2 linked regions of the Drosophila melanogaster genome follow. The protein of the gene in region 2 interacts with the protein of the main gene of each other region in a pairwise test. Each region holds a gene or a part of one and is shown on either strand. Other genes may lie near its edges.

The links. The genes of interacting proteins can lie anywhere in the genome.
Region 1: the proteins of CG31029 (region 2) and CG11300 interact in a two-hybrid assay, tested with the Drosophila melanogaster proteins (one large-scale study listed by BioGRID).

Annotation. Positions count from the first base shown.
Region 1 is NT_033778.4:23,748,156-23,754,174, forward strand, and holds CG11300 (uncharacterized protein), read left to right. Parts: upstream 1-3,759; 5' UTR 3,760-3,793; coding exon 3,794-4,267; 3' UTR 4,268-4,340; downstream 4,341-6,019. Other genes in the region: CG34105 (uncharacterized protein), read right to left, coding at 1,224-1,697; CG12491 (uncharacterized protein), read left to right, coding at 2,530-3,003; CG5532 (uncharacterized protein), read left to right, coding at 4,675-4,750, 4,810-5,072.
Region 2 is NT_033777.3:30,128,779-30,137,390, forward strand, and holds CG31029 (uncharacterized protein), read right to left. Parts: upstream 3,618-8,612; 5' UTR 3,436-3,617; coding exon 3,002-3,435; intron 2,940-3,001; coding exon 1,680-2,939; intron 1,627-1,679; coding exon 603-1,626; 3' UTR 501-602; downstream 1-500. Other genes in the region: Ppi1 (protein phosphatase 1c interacting protein 1), read right to left, coding at 1-160; Tpi (triose phosphate isomerase), read right to left, coding at 4,464-4,670, 4,732-5,316, 5,501-5,755; AdoR (adenosine receptor), read right to left, coding at 6,497-7,641, 7,708-8,203, 8,296-8,507.

The DNA of each region.
Region 1 (6,019 bases), on a different chromosome or scaffold from region 2:
CAACTCACATGACATTGTAACTCAATGCAAATAAAATTGTTACATGAAAAACCAATATAAACCCTAGATATAAATGTGAATGCAATTTTGTGTTGCATACCTTAAGACACCATAAGAGAAATGTTTTCAGTCCTCCACAGAATCACAGCATGTACCAGCAAGCTTTCTTAGCTCGCATAGCTTTCTCACTCCATTTGGTTCTATCTGAACTAGTGACTCGGCTTCATACTATCGTAGTAACGAATTTCCTAAAGTACAGAACGCCCGGAAAGTATGCAGAACATATATGAGACCTTGTTTCGAAATAAACTCACGAGGCTTTAGAACTAAAGATAATTAATTCCACGAAGTGTTTACGATTCAGTCCAAAAAAATTCGAAACGAGCACAAGATAGCTTTCGTTACAATCTGAAAGATATTTTATCGGATCACAGTACTATTAGAATCATACAAAATATATCAACAGATCGTCAGTCCATAAGCTGCTAAATAGGAAAGTCCGTGAGAGCCTCAAAGTCCTTGGACCCAACGCTACCTGGTCATCTCACGGCTTCTGCTGGATTCACTGCCTCTAGGCGAAGTGGGCGTGGATCAGCCGGTTGGGTTGACGTACCTGAAGGTGATGCTCTGGCTAGAAAGCCAGGGACAAATGACAAATCTCCAATTAGTTAGCAACTAAGCAAAACGGTTTTTTTTGGATTGGCTGGCTGAACGTATTGTTAGCATGTGTGCAAACACAGTACATTGTTTATTAAATAGATGAATATGTATTGTTAAGCCTTTTGAACAGAAAGCCATATTTAAATAACCTCTAAGCTTAAATATAGATTAAGATGGCATATTGTACATAAAGAATGAATTCTCACTAAAAGAAAACTTAGAACAAACTCCTATTTTTCACTTTCATTTGCAAGTTCCTAATCGATTAAGTTATCATCTGGAATTATGTCTGCACTTAGACCAGTTCCACTTGATCAACTAACTAGATCGGAAAATGATTTACTTAGGATTCTTCATTAGAGTATATAGTGTAGCCTTCTTCTTCTTTTCCAAGATGAAACCGAATATTGAATTTCTTTGTTTGACTAACAATTCGATCCAAATGATTTCACTTGTTTTTAAGGTGCCAAGTTACCAAGTCATAACTACGATTGTTGCTTTTGTGTATGCATTTATTTTTCAATTTGGACCATTTCATTGTTCGATCGGGTTAAGCCGATGGTTTATCCCCTACGTTGGCGCCTTCTTCCAGCACGACTCTGCTGGCGCCTTTCCTGCTGCCTCTCCCGGCGAATCTCCTGGCGCCTCTCCTGACGCCTCAGCCGCCGGAGCCTGCGAAGCCTGCGCCTCAGCCTGTCCACCTCCTCGCTGTCGGAGCTCGTGGAGGAGGAGGACGTGTCGCTGGACGTGGAGGGGGCCGTGGTTGTGGCAGTCGTCGATGAGGTGGAGGAAGTGGGCGAAGTGGAAGAAGAGCTGCTAGGAGTGGAGGACGAAGTAGACGTAGTGCTATTGCTGGACGGAGTTGAGGTGGAGGACGAAGAGCTGGGTGTCGAACTTGAGCTGGAAGTCGATGGAGTCGATGAATTGGAAGTGGGTGATGTGGAAGAGGACGAGTCGCTCGAGGATGAGTCGGTGCCACCATAAACGGTCGCCACGAGGACAACCAAACCAAAGGCCAGGACGAATTCGGGTCTCATCTTAAGCTCTGTCTGTTGAACACTGTACTCAAGTACTATACAGCATCCAGATCTGTGTCTGCTATTTATACGATCTATCTGGAGGGGTTTGGTCCAAAATCTCAATCCGTGGGTGGTTTACATCTTAGCATCTGGCACGTGGCCCAGTGTTTTGCTGAAAACGTCTGGAAAGCTGGAAAGGTTATTGTTGGGAAGTTAAACATTGAAGCAGTTGTTGATTTTCTGAAACAATCTACGGCACAGGCACTAGACAAATATAGTTTTTGACTAAGAAGTGACTAAGCAAAAATAGGTAATTGGACTATTCTGAATAAAATAACTAAATACAATAGGAACAATCAGTTCGTAAGATAAGGAAGGGTAAAGTGGCCATTCTACCCAGAATCCTTCAAGTTGGCTTTCCTAAAATGAATACTACAATGCAAGCAGAGTCACTTCGTGTTCTCTTTTAAGCAGCATATTATTATTCAAAGAAAGATTTAATCATCAATAAATGTGATAGAGCACTTAATATTTGCTTAATATTAAATGTTCTTATATTAAACATCCTCTAAGTTAAGCACTTTCTTCTTGAGCCGTATTGGCACATCCACTAAAAATAACACTGCGCAAATAGAAGCTCCATTGCTGTTGTAGATTCGACAAACATAGGAACTTTCCACACCTTGTTCAACAAAACACTGCCGCAAATGCCACATGTTAAGATCAAACTAAGACGACGCACAGATTGAGATTTTGGACCAAACCCCTCCAGATAGATCGTATAAATAGCAGACACAGATCTGGATGCTGTATAGTACTTGAGTACAGTGTTCAACAGACAGAGCTTAAGATGAGACCCGAATTCGTCCTGGCCTTTGGTTTGGTTGTCCTCGTGGCGACCGTTTATGGTGGCACCGACTCATCCTCGAGCGACTCGTCCTCTTCCACATCACCCACTTCCAATTCATCGACTCCATCGACTTCCAGCTCAAGTTCGACACCCAGCTCTTCGTCCTCCACCTCAACTCCGTCCAGCAATAGCACTACGTCTACTTCGTCCTCCACTCCTAGCAGCTCTTCTTCCACTTCGCCCACTTCCTCCACCTCATCGACGACTGCCACAACCACGGCCCCCTCCACGTCCAGCGACACGTCCTCCTCCTCCACGAGCTCCGACAGCGAGGAGGTGGACAGGCTGAGGCGCAGGCTTCGCAGGCTCCGGCGGCTGAGGCGTCAGGAGAGGCGCCAGGAGATTCGCCGGGAGAGGCAGCAGGAAAGGCGCCAGCAGAGTCGTGCTGGAAGAAGGCGCCAACGTAGGGGATAAACCATCGGCTTAACCCGATCGAACAATGAAATGGTCCAAATTGAAAAATAAATGCATACACAAAAGCAACAATCGTAGTTATGACTTGGTAACTTGGCACCTTAAAAACAAGTGAAATCATTTGGATCGAATTGTTAGTCAAACAAAGAAATTCAATATTCGGTTTCATCTTGGAAAAGAAGAAGAAGGCTACACTATATACTCTAATGAAGAATCCTAAGTAAATCATTTTCCGATCTAGTTAGTTGATCAAGTGGAACTGGTCTAAGTGCAGACATAATTCCAGATGATAACTTAATCGATTAGGAACTTGCAAATGAAAGTGAAAAATAGGAGTTTGTTCTAAGTTTTCTTTTAGTGAGAATTCATTCTTTATGTACAATATGCCATCTTAATCTTTATTTAAGCTTAGAGGTTATTTAAATATGGCTTTCTGTTCAAAAGGCTTAACAATACATATTCATCTATTTAATAAACAATGTACCGTGTTTGCACACATGCTAACAATACGTTCAGCCAGCCAATCCAAAAAAAAACCGTTTTGTTTAATTACTAACGAATTAGAACTTTCCACAGCCATCAACAGCTTTCGCGCTTACAGAGAAGATAGTCTCGTCTTTTTATTGAGTTTAATCTATTTGTCTTGACGAGAACGTAAAATGTACTCTAAAACATTCAAAGCAAACACAGATTCGACAATTAAAGCGAATCAAGTGGATCATCCCTATAAATACTCGGATTTAAACCACTATCCACACAGTACTCCATTTAGTGACAAACTGAGCTGAAGATGCGTTGCCAATTCGTTATCGCCTTTGGGCTTTTGGCCCTAATAGCAACTGCCTACGCCGATTCTCCACCTGCGGCAGGATCCCCACCCGCGTCATCTCCACCGGCTGGAACCCCAACCTCGCCACCTCCAGCGACTGGAACACCGCCCTCACCATCCCCAGCGACTGGAACACCACCTTCAGCATCCCCAGCTGCTGGTACACCGACCTCGCCAACTCCAGCGACTGGAACACCGTCCTCGCCAGCTACTCCTGATGCGCCCGCTTCCTCGACATCACCAGCTACGCCCACATCGCCCAGTGACAGTGGATCCAGCAGCAGCCAGGAAGTGATTAGGCTCAGGCGTCGGCTGCGCCGGCTGAGGCGTCAGCTCCGCCGCGAGAGGCGTCAGGCCAACCAGAGTAATCAGAATGGAGGTGGTGGTCAGGGGCGAGTGGTTCGCCGTGTACACCGTCACCGTCGTCTATTGTAAAATTCACGAACATGTTGGCTACGAATTTGAAATAAAATTCCAGACAGAAATGCAATAAATCTAAAAAAAACATAAATGTATTGAATGGCTTTTTAAATTAGAGGAACCATCGCTCTTTTTGTAATGCATACATTAGTAAACTAACTTATATTTGCCCAACAAACTTTCTAAACATTGCAATGAATATTTCGAATAGAAGCGTTCTAAACATTGAAATAAATATTCTGATTAGGAAGTTCGTTGCACATATTTAATTCAAAATGACCGCGAAACGGTGCTGCCAGATGTCTGAATTTCGTGCACTGCGGAGCGGATCTTCTTTCTACTAAGGCAGGAAGGGTCATACTAACACCTCCACTTCTCACCAAAACAAAGGTTACCCCGAAATTTAATCAAAATAAATCGAAATGCCGGTGGATTGGTTCGGATATGTGTACGCAGCCACGGTCGCCGCCGGAGGAATCATGGGATACGCCAAGGCGGGTAAGTGACCAGCCCCCTGACCGTGGTCATGTCCGATTGTGCAACGCCCTGCATTCCAGGTTCCATTCCCTCGCTGGGTGCTGGTCTGGCCTTCGGAGCCCTGCTCGGCTATGGCGCCCACCTCAACTCCCAGGACACGCCTCGTCCCCTGCTCCAGTTGGGCACCTCCCTGTTCCTGGCCGGGCTGATGGGCGCCCGCTGGAACCGATCCGGAAAACTGATGCCCGCCGGAATGGTGTGCATGCTATCCGTGGCCGCCTTGGTCAAGAACCTGGCCACCTATAATCGCTACCTAATGCCCGCCGGCACAAAGGCCCCTTAGGCTAATTTCCGGCCACATGCTGGACTTGCCAGGAGATTGCCCTACCTTCATTCTTCATTCGTATTGAATAGGTTTTCTACTTTTCGGTGATTGGAACTTTGGTAATGCGCTGTGTCACTTTCTAAGATAGTGATTAGGAACTGTACTTGCTGCAAATATATTTTATCACCTATGCTTTTAACTTGTGGACTTCTTTGTACTCAATTGTAATACTTGGTCACATTTAATAGCATACTTTCAGGCACTTTGGTATGACAGTTCGCATAGAAGCACAGAAATACACCATTTCGTACATTCAAATCTTTTTTTGTATATTTATTGTTTAACTTAGCTTTTGTTTCTTTTGTGTGTGTGATAAATTTACAGTTTCATCTATTATACGATGTTCAGTTAACTACAACTAAAACTTAGCTATTACATTTTGTTGCTGCATGAAAAGAGCATTAGGCTAGGTAAACGTAGAGTGATGGATTTTTTTTTTTTTTTAGAATTTAGGCTTCTAACAAGTTTATTACAATAATGAAGTGAATAATTTGAGTTTTCTGCAGGCAAAGTGCGGCAAGGTAAGTATATTATCGATTCTCCACCTTTCTAGCATTTTCCCAACAGGAAACGATAAATATTTGTTAAGTAGAGTGTACAAATTATATATGTTTATCACATTGGAAAGTGGGATTATTATTAAATTTCCTTTCGATTGATTTGTGGCTCAAGAAATAATTTAGGTTGTCTGCCGAAAGTGCGTGCATGTGTAGATGAAGTTTTTACAGAATTATATGTACTATTTTACAAAATTGTTTGCATTTTGCATTAAATTAGATTACATAATATATGCGTGTACTGAACATAACAACATTGCTGGCTGCTGCGTTGCCCTCAGCAAACAGGCAATCATTTAAATTAGAATTAGCTGCGGCTAGAACTAACAACAAATCAATAGGGTTTCG
Region 2 (8,612 bases):
TCTCCTGGTACGTGGAGCAGTGCATGTAGTCCGCTTTGCAGCTGCCCAATCGGGTGCTGACCAATCCGCGGTTCTTGTAGTAGGCATCCCAGTTCATTAGCTCTTCCACCGGCTTCTCCTTCTTCTCCACCGGCTCTGGCTTGCACTCGTACTTCTCCATCCTGGCCGGTTAGCAATCGATATAGGGTCGTCCACGAGTCTAAAATTTTTCTTGCACAAATAATTTTAAAAAAGCGCACGGGCTACGTCACGAGAATTCACATAAAAGTAAGCAATTTATAGATAACTTGAGCCTGAAGCGATCGACCTGAACTATCAATAGAGAATGAGCTGTGTTCAAGAATCGGACTGTAATGACCAGGTGAAGTAGAACTCACGGCATCCTGGGTTACATAGAACCACATTGGCATAGAATGACATACCAACACATTGTTTTAATAAATCTATGACTATGACTATGTTATTCAATTCATGCCAAAAGGGATAAAACCAATTCATTTATGTGGAATTCTTGGAATGCCGAAACCGTCATTTATTTAAAATGTAAAGGCTATGTATACTTGTGATTGCTAACATCAATGCATTTGGACTCCGCCACCATGTCAGTTAGACTTGTGCCAAGGTCTGTTTAGTGGGGTTGGATCGAACCTCCGGGGATCATCGTAGCCACCGACATTGCGGAAGGGAAGCTGCTTGCGTGGCTTCTTCTTGGGCGGATTTCGCAGGCGCGGCTTCGGTGGATCCGCGTGAACGTCGCCCTTTCCGTAGATCCATGGGAACATCTTCTTTCGCTCGCCCATCACGCATCCGCCGTATTGGACGAGCATGTTGGCCGGATGCGGGTACATGGTGGGAGCGGCCCAGTCGTGATCCACGTACTGGGTCTCCACGTGCGCTCTGTCCGGCTGTCGCACCCGTTCGGGCTTTATGACTCCCGCCGGAGGAGTAACCCCAAACTCGTACTCCCGATCGCTGTCATCATCGTCGCTGTTTGGGGAGTACACGAAGGTATCCGAGTTGTTTGGCCAACCACGCTGGCGACACTCGTTCTCCACCTCGTACTGAATTCGCTTCTTCTCAATGTGACTCCGGCAAAAGCAACTGGCCACCGGCCGGCGACAAGTGCAGGGGGCAAATCCCTTGTCCTGAAGATTCACTCTCATCTGGCGGAGTCCTGCTGCCATGGGATCCTTGGTAATACGAAAGACAACGGGCTTCATATCCGCATAAGGGTTGGCACTGGAGGCCAGGGCCTTGGGATCCTTTAATGGACGCAAGGTGATGATGTACTCATCTCCCTTCCGACTTATGTGCAGCGTTGGATGCTGCACTAGTGGCTCCTCCAGCTCCTCGACCCTGCGGCACTTTTTGTGTCGGTAGTGGTAACGCGAAAGGCAAATATTATCCGCAGGAAAGTCCTTTAGAAAGTAGGACATTAGTTGTCGGATGGGTCGAGAAATGGCTCCTGGGCGCCACGACTTGTGGCGCGCCATCTCGCTTTTGGTCCACATCCAACCCATGTGACAGGGAATCCTGCTGTAGCCCGTATGCTTGCTGCCCGAAATGCAGTCCAGATGCCCGATACGGGAGTCTTTGGATACCGTCTTCAGCTTCAAGAAGGTGTAGCTGCAAGATGAGAGTCTAATCTATCTGAACGCAATGTAGGTTTCATATCTCACCATCGGGACTTTTTGTGGTGGGTGCGCTCCTTCTTTATCCGCATTTTGGCTGGCTTGGGATAGGCCTTGTCAATCTCGTCCAGTGTCTTCTGCAGCGCCTTCCTGGCCTTCCTGCGGGCCTTGGCCGACTTGGTGTTACGGCAGGCTGCATCGCACTCCTTCCTCAGCTCCTCGGCCACCACGTCCGCCTCGTTGGCTCCCTTCTTCTTGCCGAACATATTCCGCATCTCCGTGAAGATGGAGATCAGTTGGGTACGACGAAGTGATTCGTCCGAGTTGGCTTGGTTCACCTTCTTGCTTTCCGGTTGTGATTTGCTTGGAGCTTGCGGATAAGCCTGTGGGAGTGGCTCAATCTTGCACTCATTTTCCTTAAAAAAGTTGTCGCAGAGCTTCCGGATGCGGCATCGAGTGCAGGGTTTCCCGCCCAAGCAGCCACATTGCTGCGGAACATTGGGATCATCCTTGTTCTTGTCGCCCATGGCTTCATCATCACCTTTGGACGGGTCCAGTTCACAGGTCTCCTTGCGCAGGCAGTCCCTTAGCAATTGCTGGGCAGTTGCCGTAAGATCGTAGGGCTGCTCGCTGGGCTGTATGTCCTCGAAGGTTTTGTAGCCACAGTAGGGACAGGCGGAGATCTTGGGCAGCCAACTGATGTCCGAACGGCAGAGCTGGCAGAGATTCGGTGGCTTGTAGGCCTCCTGTGTTAAAACAGGCTCTTTTACAGGACAGGTGCCCATGAGTCTTCGACGAGCAGCCCGCTCCATGGAGGCAGTCAAGGATATGGCCTTTCTCTTTCTAGGAGGCTTTTCCGCTGTGAACTCATTGGTGTCACAGGAGGAAGTATCTGTGCTGGAACTCGGCTGCTTGCACTTGCAATGCCAACGACGGGACTTTTCGTGTGTGTCTGGAGGACTGGGTACTTTTATCTCGTCTAGACCCAGTTCATCGACGAGCTTCTTCAGAGCGGCCTTTTCTCTCTTTTTCTCCGTGCCAACATCCGGAGGTAATTGCATTCCTTTCAGGAAACACCCACATCTGGCAAAGGCACCGCCTTTGTTATCCTGATCCTCCTGATTCTGACTTGCGGCGTGTGGACATTGGAAGGGTGCTCCCGCGTGCGACATCAGGCGCTCATCCGTGATGCAGCTGTTCGTTGCACACTTTCCGGAGCGTCCCAGGGTGAAGATAATATCCTTTTTGTTGATCGAATGATCCACAGGCTTGCACACGTCATAGCAGCCAAAGGGAATCAAGCCGTGGCTAGAGAGGATTGTGATTTAATAGGAATACTACATTTCCCCTATCTGGTTAACACCACTTACTTTATATCCGGTGAAGCGGAGCTGATCTTTAGGAGTAGCTCCACCTCACCCACTCGGTCGTTCTTAGGCCCTTTGGTCAGTTGAACTGTAACACTCTGGGTAACCGAAAAGCTGGGGTCTGTCAGCTGGCGCAGGATTGAAGATTCCAGCGTGGCGTTGCCCGATCCTATGAGCTCGTCGTTCTCTTTGAGAGTGACGCCTACGCCCTTGGATGTCAATGCTCCTATTAGCTCACAGGGACTGCTGGTAAAGCCACCCAATGCCTCTGTGGGAAACTGATCCACGAATATGCGTTCCATGGACAGCTCCTCAAAGTCCTCGAACAATCGAACCGAGTAGACGGGCCTCCCACCCGCACTGAAACTGGCGGACTTGCGGGGAATCGGCAAACTGGAGTTCACAAGGATAACGTCAAAGACATAGTACTGCGTCATGTTGATCTTCTAGGGAAACTATCGCTAAAACCAAGTTAAAATTTTCTTTACTCTCTAAAGATTTGGCTAAAAACTTATTTAATTTGTTCTGATATAAAACTCCAGTCTGAATAAAATCGATGTGTTCAGGATCAGAAATGACAATAAAAAGCTCAAAAACGGAGAACTAGAGCTTGTCAAATCGATAATGTATCTAAGGCCACTTGGGTTCAAGAATTCTCAGCCTGTTCATGTTTTGAGAAAAACTGAATAATATTTTGTTGATTTACTAACCATAAATTACTTACTAAGCTAAATAACTTATCAGCTACAAAGAAATTGCCTTGTTTAGCTCCATATTTGCCAAACTTTGTGCACAATCTTCGAACACTTCGATTAGAAATGAACTCTGAGTATAAGTATAAAGTATAATAAGTACAAACTGTTTTCCTTTCTTATCTCAAGTTAAGCTATCTTATGATGCATTGCTTCTTCTTGAAGGCTTTTATGCAAGATATTGTCAAAAACATGATGCAAATGATTTGATTCACTTGTTAGGTAAGTGAATACAATGATTGCCTCGATTACTCAGTTGGAACTCATATTCCAAATATTTGCCATTTCGCATGCTTATCAGAAATTAAGTAATAACTTGTTCGGTTTAAGGTCCGCAGAGGTGACACATATATGTACATATGTGCACACAACTTTGGACACCTTGTCGTTCAACCAATCGCTCTAAAAATAGCTGAAATAGTCTTGCAAAAAATAAGACACCTGTTTGGTTTGGTATATAAGTAAATGAGTAGCGCATAATTATTGCCTGAATAATTTAAGATTTACACAATGGACTACTATACGTTCAACAACAAGGATGTGAGTAGCATTCTCGCAAGGTAACTATGAATTTGGAACTGCACTTGGTGGTGACAACAACTAGGTGTGTGCGTAATGCATTCGCGCGCAGGAGTATGGAGTCCTGCCCTCCAGTGCCTCCTTCGCGGGCAGTTCGCTGGCCGAAAGCGATCTGATGCTTGAGATCGCGTTGCTTACTGCCGGGCGTTGATGATGTCCACGAACTCGGGCTTCAGGGAGGCGCCTCCGACCAGGAAGCCATCTATGTCGGGCTTCTTGGCCAGCTCCTTGGCGTTGGCGGCGGTCACGGATCCACCGTACTGGATGCGCAGGCTGGCGGACACCTCCTTGGAGATGTTGTCGCTCAGCCACTGGCGCAGGAAGGCGTGGACCTCTTGAGCCTGCAATTGGGAAGGGAAAATATCAGTTCTGGAAGAGATTAGCCTCTGCGGGCGACCTTACCTGATCGGGTGTGGCGGTCTGGCCGGTGCCAATGGCCCAGACGGGCTCGTAGGCCACCACCACGTTCTTCCAGTCCTTGATCTTCTGGGCGTAGGCGCACATTTGGCGGGCCACCACCTCGTTGGTCTTGCCGGCCTCGCGCTCCTCCAGGGTCTCACCAATGCAGGCGATGACCTTGAGGCCCTCGGCCAGGGCGTGCTCGGCCTTCTCGGCGATCAGGGCGTCCGATTCGCCGAAGATGGCGCGACGCTCCGAGTGTCCCAGGATCACCCAGTCGGCGCCGATGTCCTTCAGCATCGCAGGGGAGATCTCGCCGGTGAATGCGCCCTTGGCCACCTTGTAGGCATTCTGGCCGGCCAGACCCAGCTCGCAGGGCAGCAGGTTGCGGGCGTACATCAGGTAGATGGCCGGGCAGCCGATGACCACCTCCGTGTTGGGGTCGAGGGCGGCCGAGCTCAGGGTCTTGGCGATCTCGGCGATGGACTTCTGGTCGCCGTTCATCTTCCAGTTGCCTCCCACGCAGAACTTTCGGCTCATGTTGTTGCTGTTGCTGTCGGTGCAATCGGTGCTGAAATTGGCGTAGAACTGCGGATCGGGGGACAAAACAAGGGGACTGCTATTAGAGTGTTTGGAACTGATAATTTCAAGTGGGTAACTCGATGACTGGAGGCTCGCCGTCGACTTTTCCACTCAGATTTTTCCCAGATTCGAGATTAATCCCGGCACAGAGCACACACCCACCTCGAAGTTCGTCTGCTTATGTACTAACCTTCTTTTGACCTTCGTAAGTCTTCCACTGGCACTTGAAAAGCTTTGGGAAAACAGCTGTGAATTTGCCCAGCAGAGCTTCCGAAACGACGGCTTTTAGTACCTCCGCCGTAACACCACCCACAGTGGGTCGGTTCTGGTCCATGGTGGGGATGGTGTGGTGGTTCCGATGATACGGGAATCGCTGGAGAAGCGTTACTGATGCAATGCACTGGATACCGTTCCTGTTCAGATCATTGAGTACTCCAGGCGGCATTTCTATTGTGGTTACAATAGTAAGTAAGGAGTAGTAAAAGTTATTCTGAAATTATATAAACGGCTTGTTGGGGTTTTAAAAATGTTGCCGGTTTTAGATTTAGCAGTGACTCCAACCATCTGATGGGGAACTTTGAGCAAGTGAGCTCCAATAGTTTTGGCGTCGCTTCCAAAAAGCTCTGGAAAAGCTTTTATCAACAGGCTTGCCAAAATCCGCTATACTAGCATATGTAAAAGAAAAACTTGTATACCCTACCAATAGGCATACATCGCATCAGGACTTATTTAACCAACAAAAATAAAACACAACATGAATGTACATTCTGGTTTAATCGCTTTATTTAACTTCAACTTTGAAATTCATGTCGCATGGCTTAACTTGGTTTTCACAGACGTTCAGGTATACATAAGCTGACATATACACAGTAAATACTCTAACAACATTAAACATATGTATGTACATAATTAACTAGTCCGTAGAAACGTATTATGACCATACACTCAAAATAAATGCGCATAGCTCCTAATCTCTATATTTCACTACCGAACTAATTGATTTAGATCCGATATAGAATTTGACAACGTTTCCGAAAGAGAGCCTAAGAGAGCTGGAAAGTACTTAACGTAAAAGCTTTGACTTGCGAGTATTTCCTCAGGGGTCACCCCTTACCCCTTTCGCATCCTTGTGATCCTCTTCCAGTGGACTTTCCTGCTGATCCCGCTTCTTTTCCGACCGCGAAGGTCAACTCTCCGCGCTGGTCGCCAGAAGGGACGGCGAGGAGGTGGTCAGACCCACTGGAACCGATTCCTCCTGAGCCTGGCCCATGGGCGGTGGTGATGGAGTGGGCGTGGAGGCCGTGGACGACGCCGTCGATGAGGTGGGACGGGCGGCGTGAGGCTGGAGGAAGTGAAACAAGTTGGAATGCTGCATGAAACTGCCCACCGATCTCAGCGGACTAAAAAAGTTCTCTGTGGGATGGTTGGCTGGCTGCGGATGCTGTGGAAGTACAGAGGACTCCTGATCCCTGCAGAGATTACTGCTGGGCTCGTCGTGGACCCCTCGTCCCTTAGCGATGGAGCTACAGTTGCAGGATCGGCTCTTCTTCAGCGAACTCCGAGTGAATGCCGTGCCCTTTCGATACTTAGGCTTGTGCCCATTTGAGCCGGGACTCGCCTCACTATCGATCACAAAGATACCGGATTGCTCCTGGGGAGCAGGACTCGCCGTGGATCCTGGCAGGCAGTGAGCGCTATTGGAGTTGCCAGCAAGCAGTTTGGCCCTCAGAAGAGCCGGAAGTGGGCCATTTGTGGGAGATGTTTGAGTGGAGAGCGGTCTCTCCCTGGACTGTTCATCTATGGGAAGATCCTGATTGTTGCCCATTGGCCTGGAGTCCGTGTCATCCGATCGCAATTTCTCCCTCATGACCAAAGCCAGGGAGCGACGCAGTTCCACGGGATCTATGCCAGGCTGAACGGGATTTGGAACAGAGCTGGCCGGCACGAATACGTCCTCAAACTCCAGATCATCATCATCTTCGTCCTCATCCTGGCTGAAACTGTAGTTGTGGTTGTCATAGGAGGCGGACGGAACTGAGGGCTTCGCAGGAGCAGGAGGAGCTGGTGGGACTGTGGAACTGCTATTTCGTTCACTGCTGCGCTGGGAACCCGGAGCGGGGGAAGGGAACTCGTAGCTGGTTTCACCCAGCTCGGCGCCACTGGAGGCCTCCACTATGTTCCACATTTCTCGCTCGAGATCTGTGGTCACCGAAGCCACGGCGGCCACCGTTTGGTTGATGTTGTTGAAACAGGGCGACACCACTCCGCACTTGGGCAGGAGCTGGGAGTTCTTCAGGGCCTCCTGCTGCTGCCTCAACCAAATGGGTGAATCTGCAGGGAATGTTACGAGAGTTATAGGGATTTTGCCACAGTTCCAAGGAGACAACGCGCACTCACACTCACCCACATAGAGGCGCGGCTGCGTGGAGCGCATATTGGAGTCCATGGACTGCAGGCGATGCTGACTGGCCACCGAGAAGCGGTGGATTGCCTCCGCCTGCTGATCAATGTCCACGCCCATCATCTTCAGGAGTAAGTTCTTCAGCGCGGCCCTGAAGTCCTTGAGGTGATAGGCATACAGGACCGGATTTACCGCCGAGTTCAGATGGGACAGAATGATGCAGAAGAGCGTCAGCTTGGGATGCACATAGCAGTCGGGACAGAAGGCCTTGATGCAGTTGATCGTATAGAGCGGTATCCAGCAGATCATAAAGAACAGCACGATAATGGACAGATTCTGGGTGGCCTTGACGTCCCGCTTCCTTGCGGCGCCCAAGACCCGCAGCATGGTTCCCGTGTGTCCACCTCTTCCGGGTGTCGTCACCTGCACCACGGCCGCCGAGGAGCGACGACTGAGATCGGAGGCGGGGTTCATCGTAACAATCTGACGGACCTTTAAAGTTCAATTGAAAACGGATAGTTAATATTCCAAACTCTATGGAATATATAAAAAACTTTACTGGCGAAAATCTATCTACCACTCACCTGTTTGATGATGACCCGGTAGATGTGCGTGTAGAAGGCCAGCATCAGCAGAGCCGGAGTGATAATGGTGGCAAAATAGAGGAAGACGAGGTAGTTGTAGTCCATCACCTCCACGAAGAGACACTCCTGGTTGTGATTGACATCGGCGTGCCAGCCGAAAAGCGGCAGGAAGCCCACTATCGTCCCGGCCACCCAGCACATGGAGATGATGACTGCAACGGAAGAGGAACATTGGTAATCAGAGTGCCCTGAACTGAAGCCCTTGAAGTGGAGCTCCCCCAGACGTCATTTGAGCAGATTGCAGGAATCCCTGCCGT